Arabidopsis thaliana: one gene and its partner. The protein of the gene in region 2 interacts with the protein of the main gene of each other region in a biochemical or structural test. Each region holds a gene or a part of one and is shown on either strand. Other genes may lie near its edges. The genes, in order: ROP2 and RIP3.

Region 1 (4,639 bases), on a different chromosome or scaffold from region 2:
TGGTAAACCACTACGGATTCGTATTGTTTTCAAGAAACCGAAAGAAGCTGAAGCTGTACCTCAAGAGGATCCTGTTTGTTCCACTTCAGGGACTCAGAGACCTAGCGAATTACCAAGTTCTGTCTCTCTTCCAAGTATCTGTGATCATGATGTGGCTGTACCCTCAACTTCTCTTGAGAGTGGCAAGGTAGCAATTATTTCCGAATCAAAGAAGAGAAAGAAACATAAGCCTAGCAAAGAATCCCGGTACAATTCATTGTTTGATGAATTAGTTCCTCCCTGTATTTCCTTGGAGGAAGATGATAGCAGCAGCGATGACTGGCTTTTTGGAACAAGTCGGAAAGAAAATGTTTCTTCTGCCAAGTCTTCTTATAAGACTGATGAAGACACGATCATGAGCTTGCAGACGTCAAGAGATTGTTCCTCTTTGCCTAGAGCTATGTTATTGTCTGAAGTTGGAATTTTTTCATTACCATATACTGTCCCGTTTTAGGTCCCATATTGTTTTGTTCTTTCTCAGCTTAGCCTTAGGCCTTAGCTTTGTACAGTTATCATTGTAACAATCACAGTGATCTATGATACTTGAACGATCTCTGTATTTTTGACACTAATCAAAAATCATGGTTTCCACTTACTAAACTATCGTCTACATGATTTTTGTCAACTGGAAGTTTTTGGTTGAATTGATCAATGCGATTGCAAAAGCTGGCTACTTTTAAATAAGCAATTTCTTGCAAGAAGTTGACTGGTTTAGCCGTTCCCCAGTTTAACTTCTTGCTTAGGCAGCTGGAGAAAGATCTCTTTAAGCATGATGCTTGGTAAGATCACATGAATATACATCTTGTGGGAAAGAAGCAGAAAACAAGAGCTCTTAAAAACAAAATAAACGTTGCAAATATTAATTAGATTCATTTGTTAATACAAAATGATCCTCAAGAACAAAAGAGAAGAGAGACAGAGATTAGTCTACATAGCAAGAGTACAACACACGGTCTCTTAGTCTGTGGACTCGAAAGATTCACCAGCAAAGAGTAAAAGACACAACAACAACAAAGCTCGTTTTAGCAACTATACAAAAAAGCTACTAGAAATGTCTCCCTTCACGTCGAAATTATCATATTAAAATGGGCCGAATCAAATAGTTGAAATCATCTTCTGCTTCTTTCTTTAGTTGGTTTTACCTAGTCTTAGAGGTTTTTCTTATCACAAGAACGCGCAACGGTTCTTATTCTTTTTCTTCTTCTTCTGCTTTGGTGGCTGAAGCACCACTTTTATAGCTGCATCAAACACTGCCTTCACGTTCTGCAGAAACACCAAAAGGAAAGAAATAAAGCTCACCCTCTTGATAAGATCAAATATTGCAAACAGTGAGGAACAGGACAAGCGATTTGTTATGTATACCTGCTGTGTCTTTGAACTACATTCAATGTAGACAGCAGATCCAATCAGTTTCTTCAGTTCCTCTCCCTGCATCATTCAAAACAACATCAGACAATTCTATTAAGAACTGGCAATCATTGCAAGACTATTCGTTTAAAAGGATATGTACCTGGTTTGTAGTAATTGGCACAGCACCAGGATGATCTATAAAGAATTGCTTGTCATCTCGAAGATCTGCAGCAAATACCAGTGACTTAACAATCAAATTTTGCAAGAAAACTTAACAACTTCGTTGGTGTCACAAGGCTTGTAGGAACGTAACCACAGATCTTTCAGTCAAAAAAATAGCATGATCAGTTCAATAGGGAAAGTGTGTGATTACCGAGTTTTGTCCCAACAAGGATAATGGGAACACCAGGAGCATAATGCCTGAGCTCAGGAATCCACTGAGAGAGGAGGAACGAAATCAAATAAGATCACTCATCAACACAAACTGTATAGGATTTATCAGCAAAAGAGAGACAAACCTTCTTGGCTATATTCTCATAGCTAGCCTTGCTAATAAGAGAGAAAGCAAGAATGAAAACATCAGCACCACGGTAACTCAAAGGTCGTAACCTGTTGTAGTCCTCTTGACCTGTTAACAAACCCCACAAACACAAACTAAGTCAAAAACAACCGAAACAAAAGGAAAATCCCAAACGGTGAAACGAAAGAATTACCAGCAGTATCCCACAATCCAAGATTGACAGTGTTGCCATCAACAACCACATTAGCACTGAAGTTGTCGAAAACAGTTGGCACATAATCCTGAAACACCAATCACAAGTCACAGATTTACACCTTATAATCAAAATCATCCTTTATAAAAAGCAAAAACAAAACACAGTAGCTTCAAGATCAATACTTTGGCCTAGATTCTCAAAGTCTTAAAACAAAAAAAGTTGTAACGAAATTGATCAATTTCTAGTATACAGCTCCATGACCTAAAATCTACACCTGAATCCAATTTGCAAAAACCTTGCAGATCACTAATCTACTCTTGCAACGAGCTCAACAAAAAAATAAGAAACCGAAGAGATATTGAAATAGGAGAGGAAAGATTTACAGTAGGAAAAGTATTGCTAGTGTAAGAAATGAGCATGCAAGTTTTTCCGACGGCACCATCTCCGACGGTCACACACTTTATAAACCTTGACGCCATCTCTGCCGCAAGATCGGAAACAAACAAAAAAGCCCTTAAAATCAATCCTCTTTTGTGGTTGCTTCTTCCTCAAAACCTCGACATTTCTAGCTCGCCAATCAAATTCGAGCTCTAAAAGCTTGTGAATCTGAGAATCACCCAAATTCGAAAAAGAATCGAAGAGAGAAGGAAAAGAAGAAGAAGAAGGTTGATTTGGCGGTTGATAGATGACTTTGAGAGGAGCCTATAGGAGGAGGGGACTAGTAGAAAAACAACAACTCTGAGACAGCTAAGAGAACAGCACCAAACACCTCCTTATCATATACACTCACTCCCCTTTTATTTATATTATACTTTTTATTTTCACCTCTATTTTTCTTTTTTCAAAATTTTGAAAGTCTCTTTTCTTTTATGTCACGGATTTTGAATTTTGAAATGGAGAAGATCTGTCAGTTTTTTTTAAACAACAAGAAAAATACAATTGTCATGAATGTTTTTGTATTATCTCTTTGGTTTCTCAACAGTTTTTAAATGTTTTTAATAATATATTTCGTTTAACACTTTTTTATTGTGATACATATTTTCATTGTTGTTTTGAGTTAAAATTGTCTCTTAAATTTGGACTAAATCATTGACATGAAGCCTAGAGAAATCTTAGTAAGGTAATATTTTGAACTATCATATATTGTCTGAACAATGCAAGTTTCAAAATCCTAGTGTGTTGTGTCTTTGGACTTGCACTGCCACTTTGATTCTTACTGGCATGAGACTTATCCAGTTTTGAGCAGTTTTCCATAACATTCTTTTTGTTCACAACTTTATTAAAACATAGCTAACGAAGTTTTGATTATCAATATTAGCAGTAAACGAAGTCGCTTATCTGTCTAATCCTCTTGGTACCTACCAAAACAAGATAAGAATTCCATAGAAGTTTATCATTTCACCAAAACAACAACTAAAAGTTGTTATCTTACTTAGTTTAACCATGTATCGATTATTTTACAAATAGTAATTGGTAAAATATTATACCGTCTCAAAACTATAGATTTTCTTCAAATAAAAACTTTCTTTAGCTAGCGAATTTGAATCCGCATATCCAGTTATAAGACTCCCATTCACAACATCTTCTACAACTGCCAGTTCTCTCGTATGTAATGTATCAAGGGAGGTAAATTCAAATGATCTAAGATAGACTTTATAGTATAGCAAAAAAAAAAAAAAAATGGCATACGAGAGAGACTTAAGCAAAATACGAAGAGGCATGAATGAAATCTTTAATCATTGGATTTGGCAACTCTCACTCATCAAGAACGTGCCGGCACGATTCATAAATGTCTTATTTATGATGTTTTTACTTATTTTCTCTTTTCGATTCCCCTCGGATTACGAAACATAGGCGACTAGAGTCCAATGGGACGTGCCCAACTCTAACTAAATCAATCCACTAACGATCCACCACGTCACTGATTGTCCCATCACCTAATCATAATCACACCAGACGGTAGCTTCTTATAATTATTTGTCAAACTTGATGAATTAGTAGCTAATTGCCATCATGTGTTATTTTCAACTTTTTCATTCCATAAGACTATATATATATATATATATTGCTGACCAAAAAAGAAATTGCTTATATTGATTATATGCTTACTGAGTTTAATAATGAAAATTAGAAATGTAATAAAGTTATCCACAAATATTTATCAAATGACCGTGATAAATCGTACAAAATTATGTGTTAATTTAACCACTCATAATTTTTTTAATAAACATTTATCATGTGGATTTGGATTTAAATAATCACATTCAATGATAGTAGCACAAACCACTAAATTGTACACGAAAAGTATGAATTAACCAAATCATGATATCAAAGAAGTTAAGCTTAGTAGCTTACCAACTATTCAGTATTCACCAACCAGTGACCAATCTCTCTTTATTAACTAACTTCACTTCTTTTCTGTTCAAAAATCTTTTTTCCTTTTTGATAGAATAATTCAATTACTGACCAGAATTCTCTAAGAAATAGATGAAAAAGACAATCCATAATCACTATTGCCATAATCCAATAAGCTG
Region 2 (5,238 bases):
CTTATCTTGAAGCTTGAGTTCTTCTGCGCAAAATCAAACGCTTCCAATGCTTCCCGGTAGAAATTACTTTTACATAGGGAATTAATGTGATCATTCATTAATTCTTCGGTCTTGATGGTTGATACAACACTTGATGTTGCCAGTATCTGACTGTTGCTGACGGAAACTCTAGCTCCCAACCGTAACATTGTCGCCATTTCAGTTAACCTTTTTTAATCCAAACGAGTTCTTCCTAGCAAAAGAAGGTTCAGCGAGAAAGACATGTCACTAAACGAAGCATCCAACTAACCAAACAAAGAATTCTTTATCTTCGTCGAGAATGAAGGCAATATAATCCATTATATCAAACTTCTTCAAAACAGATACAACTGAATATTCTTGTGCAAACTCATATGTAGATGAACAAGTTGGATATCAGGACGGGCCTGTTTCAAGGGGAGACAAAAAAAAGTAATCAAATACCTTGTATATATATACATCATTCAAATTATATTAAAACTCAGGATCAAGCCAGTTAATTTCACAGCATAAATGCTTTAGCAACAAAGTGGTTAGTTTCACAGACATTTTATCGAGCAGGTGGTGTGCACAATGTAAAACAAAGAAAAACAGAAACCTTTGACGTAAGATTTTGATTATTTTTCCGACAATGTCTGAGTAAATGAGAATGGTGGAATCTGGCTCCAATTTCAATGATTCAAATTGAGGGACAAGGACGAAGAAAGAACCGCGTTATGGTTTTAGACTTTTTAGTGGTGTGGTGAAATTTACGTCGAGTTTTGAACGATACATATGGATACGAGTTACGGTTTCAAGTATGGTTCAACCGACGCGAATTAGATCGAACCGAAAATTTGATCGAAAAATGAAATCGTTGTCCGCCAGAACCGGATAAAACCGGAAATTGGGAGGCGGATGAAATTAGTTTTTGACTTTTTGTACATAACCAACCCATCATCAGTCGATCACTCACTCTCGGTCACTGAAAATTAAAAAAAGAAACAACACTAGCTAATTTCAAAATGTTTTATGATCAATGGTTTATAATAATTTCTAACATTTTTGCATAATCATCATCGCATGGTGGTGTTTAATTATTTAATTACTAGCCAGACAGTGTAGTGAATTTATTGTTGAAATACTTTCTTTTTATTCGTCAAAAGAAAAATTTGATTAGTAGTTCAGAAGTCACTAGTTAATACTCTAATAATCTAGTACTAGTGAATATAATGTTTTTACAAACCATTAATGTAATCAAGCTAATCGATCGTTAGCATAAATTTCAACGATATTTTCTCCCAATTTTTGTTTTCCGCCCAAATATATAGTTAAAGTTGTGTGGAAATAATATGTTAAGTAAATTAGCAAGCGTGTATGATAAATGAAGATAGTGATGATTGATTTTGCATTGTTTCTTTTAGGAGATGTGTATGTCGTATTTATCATGCATCGGTTTTCTATGAGGTGGTGTGAAAGTGAAACGTTACATGCTTCAATATATAGCACTTTCAAATGTATGTAGATTGAACACGGAAGGTTAATGTGTTTTTGTGAAAAATTGTGACAATTTTATGAAAATTTTCCATTTATAAAGTATATAGATATGCTAGGTTAGTGTCCTTTGTGTGTGAGTGACTTATGGTTGCGTGACCGTTCGTTGTTCATAAGTAGCAATATGAGGCCAAACAATAGCACGTGACTCGGGCGCGTCTACAAGGCGCGTAGTTAAAAAAACGCCCCCTCCACGTTCTTCTACTTTCGGTCCATTCTATCAATTAATTTCAAAATAGCCCCTGATATTTATTGATCTATTTCATTACCAACCCCACAAGTTTTTTTGATTATCCAAAATTTTAATTTTAATTTTTCGGAATAACCAAAAGGAATCCAACGTAAAAGGATTATAAAAATAACTAAGTACTGAAAATTGAGGTGGAAACAGCACAATCATTACTTCAGGGGTTACTTTTGATAAATATTGCAGTTTAGTTGAAAATAAATGTTTCTTCAGTGGGAAAAAACGACTCGCGAGTCCAGTGAGAAAAAAAGAATAACAATCCGACGAGAAAGAGGAAAGATCAAATCATCTAAGTGCTGGTGCCTTGATTCTGCAGTTCTCCATTTTAATCCAACAAAAAAAGAAGCTGAATCGACGGTATAGGTGAATACTTCTTCACGACTTTTTCAAACACTCAGAAACTTCTCTTCCTTTCACATTGATTTATTCCTAATTTTAGTGCGATTTTTTCCTTTTTTTTCTCAGAAGTTTATCAATCTTGTTAGGTAGATATTTACTACTAGTTTGTTTTTTCTACTAATTTGCTGAAGAAAGTGTTAATCTTTGGTTGGTTTAAGGTATAAATTTGCTTACATCTACTCAAATCAGCTAACTTTTATTTTGGTTTGGTAGCTTAAAGATTCAGTCAAAAAAAACTTTAATCTTTGTTTTCCTGCAAAAAGCAAAAGTGTTTCTGTAATAAAACACCTTTTTGCAGAGAATGTTAAAAGATTCTCTAGTTTTAGGCTTTATGTAAAAACGATTTTTTTGCTGGGTGTTCTGTTTTTGGATCTGTGTTTCTTTTTTGGGAAGATCCACCCAATGAAACCAAATCTCACATTACAAAATGACAAGAAATTGTCTCTTCTTCCCAATAATTCCAAAACTTTGATTTAGTAAAAAATAAAATAAAATAACTGGGTGACTTAACAACCAGAAAGATTATGTGTAAGATATTGGTGCTTTCTTTGCTTGTAATAGGGTTTATCTTTGGTGATTTGATGAATCACATTGACGGCAACTTCTTTTCTAATTACACTTCTAAATATTTTATATATTTGGAATTGTTCCAAATCATTACAATATTCATTTGTTGTCTCTTTGCTTTCGTTTGGTGGTAATAGGAGTCTCTTTGAAGCTAAATGTGTAAATATTATTCTTATGTTTTTTTCGTACACTTGCTTAAGCTTTCTTTCTTCCCTGAGTTTGGTTGTCTATATGCTTATGATAAGTTTTTTTTTTCCCTCTGTTGCTTCTTTCTCACACTTTCCATTGGTCTTCATGTACTATTTGTCAGATTCTTCAAAGAAGCAATCATAACGCAATTGATTATATCCCCAAAAGAAAAGGTTTTTAAACTCCAAAAATGCAGACTCCAAAATCAAGGTGATGATCACAACTCTAACTTTGTGTTCTTGTTGTGAATGTTGTTGGAGTTATTGATCTGTTTCAAAGTGATTGTGATTGTGTGTGATAGGCCAGGATCATTGGAGCTGCCACAAAAGAAGTCTCCTTTACCAGCTCCCAAAGTTGTTAGGAGACTCAAACCAAGCGGAGCAGAATCCGATCCAAAAACCAAGACAATATCGAAAACTCAAATCCCGAAAGTAGTAGCTGATCGTCGCTCTGCAAGAATCCCTCTCAATGAGGTACTTTTGCAGTTAAAAATTGTTGGTTTGGTTTGGTGTATGCAAGTTTTATATATGGTGATTCTTGATTATGTTCTTTTCAAGATTCAGAAGAAGCGGACGGGAAGGATACCGGAACTGGAATCTACGATATCTCAGCTTCAAGAAGAGCTTAAGAAGGCAAAAGAAGAGCTAAACAGATCAGAAGCATTGAAAAGAGAAGCTCAAGAAGAAGCTGAAGATGCCAAGCATCAGTTAATGGATATCAATGCCTCGGAAGATTCAAGAATTGAGGAGCTGCGTAAACTCTCGCAGGAGCGAGACAAGACATGGCAGTCTGAACTTGAAGCTATGCAGAGACAACACGGAATGGATTCTACCGCTCTGTCTTCTGCCATTAACGAAGTTCAGAAACTGAAATCGAAGCTCTTTGAGTCCGAGTCTGAGTTAGAGCAGTCTAAGTATGAGGTAAGGTCTTTAGAGAAACTCGTCAGACAGCTCGAGGAAGAAAGAGTAAACAGTAGAGACTCTTCATCATCAATGGAAGTGGAAGAGCTGAAAGAAGCAATGAATCTTTCAAGGCAAGAGATAACACAATTGAAATCTGCAGTTGAAGCAGCAGAGACAAGGTATCAAGAAGAGTATATACAGAGCACATTGCAGATAAGAAGCGCATACGAACAAACAGAGGCGGTTAAATCAAGATATTCACAGAGAGAAGCAGAGTTAACGGAAGAATTGAACAGAACCAAAGATGAAATCGAAGGTTTGCGCAAAGAGTTAATGGAGAAGGTGAAAGAAGACGAATCTACGGGCGATTTGAAGAAGCTAGAATCGGATTTGATGGAAGTGAGAGGGAGTTTAATGGATAAAGAGATGGAGTTGCAGATTCTAAGGAGTGCAATGGAGAAGAAAGTGGAAACCGCAAACACGGAAGCCATGGAAGCTGAGCTTAAAAGAGTGAAGATTCAATGTGAGCAATGGAGGAAAGCTGCTGAGACGGCAGCTTCTATACTGAACAATGATGAGGAAAGAACAGATTCTATTGAGACTAGCAAAATGTTGAAGAAGTTTGGTGTGTTACTCAAGAAAAACCATAAGTAATAATAATACTGATTCTTTTTACTTGATTTAATAAAAATGGCATTATTGTTGTATGTAAATTTATAAAATTTCGATTTGTCTAAGTTTAATTTTTTTGTTGAAACGTTGCCACATTTGTTGATGAAATTTGTATTGTGAAATGTTGTTTGAATTCAATACTTGAAAAATTATACCTTACTTGTCTGAGTGTGAGCTGCTAGTAGCAAATTTAGTTTGGTCCTGTACATTGGTTTACACTTTACATGTATAGAAGAGTCAAGAGTGTAAAGTAAAAGTTTGTAATAGAATGTGAAACTCTAATTAAGAAGCCACATGAATACCTCTCAAGTCTTGGATCTTCCTTTTGACATTTTCTTCTGTCTATTTTCCTTTTTGTTGCGCACTAAACGCTGAGACGGCCCACTAGATTGTCTTTGGTAATGACAACCAAATCCACTTCATGAAAACATTTGACTTTTTTTTTTTTGGCAGAGACTAACCCATTCTACCTAGTTTTTAGATATCAGTGACAATAATTAATTAACTACTAGAAAATGTCCCACGCGATGCGTGGGTGAAATGAATGTAGTGAAATATATGTCTATAACTAATATATATTAATATAATATTAATTATTTTATAATACATTCAATAAAAAATATCATAAATATTGTGATTATGATATTTTAGTTTTAAACTAAACATTTAGTTTATGAATTATAATCTAAAATTATTTTGGGTATTTATAAA

Evidence for each region.
Region 1: the proteins of RIP3 (region 2) and ROP2 form a complex in vitro, tested with the Arabidopsis thaliana proteins (one study listed by BioGRID).

Annotation. Positions count from the first base shown.
Region 1 is NC_003070.9:6,965,168-6,969,806, reverse strand, and holds ROP2 (RHO-related protein from plants 2), read right to left. Parts: upstream 2,966-4,639; 5' UTR 2,585-2,965; coding exon 2,489-2,584; intron 2,191-2,488; coding exon 2,103-2,190; intron 2,018-2,102; coding exon 1,908-2,017; intron 1,827-1,907; coding exon 1,763-1,826; intron 1,615-1,762; coding exon 1,550-1,614; intron 1,468-1,549; coding exon 1,402-1,467; intron 1,303-1,401; coding exon 1,204-1,302; 3' UTR 798-1,203; downstream 1-797. Other genes in the region: AT1G20100 (DNA ligase-like protein), read left to right, coding at 1-493. UniProt on the Arabidopsis thaliana protein: Inactive GDP-bound Rho GTPases reside in the cytosol, are found in a complex with Rho GDP-dissociation inhibitors (Rho GDIs), and are released from the GDI protein in order to translocate to membranes upon activation.
Region 2 is NC_003074.8:19,779,461-19,784,698, reverse strand, and holds RIP3 (ROP interactive partner 4), read left to right. Parts: upstream 1-1,997; 5' UTR 1,998-2,161; intron 2,162-2,468; exon of another isoform or gene 2,469-3,074; 5' UTR 3,075-3,143; coding exon 3,144-3,163; exon of another isoform or gene 3,164-3,201; coding exon of another isoform or gene 3,202-3,254; coding exon 3,255-4,509; 3' UTR 4,510-4,617; downstream 4,618-5,238. Other genes in the region: AT3G53360 (Tetratricopeptide repeat (TPR)-like superfamily protein), read right to left, coding at 1-197. UniProt on the Arabidopsis thaliana protein: ROP effector binding specifically activated ROPs and linking them to the microtubule cytoskeleton. Involved in ROP-regulated polar growth.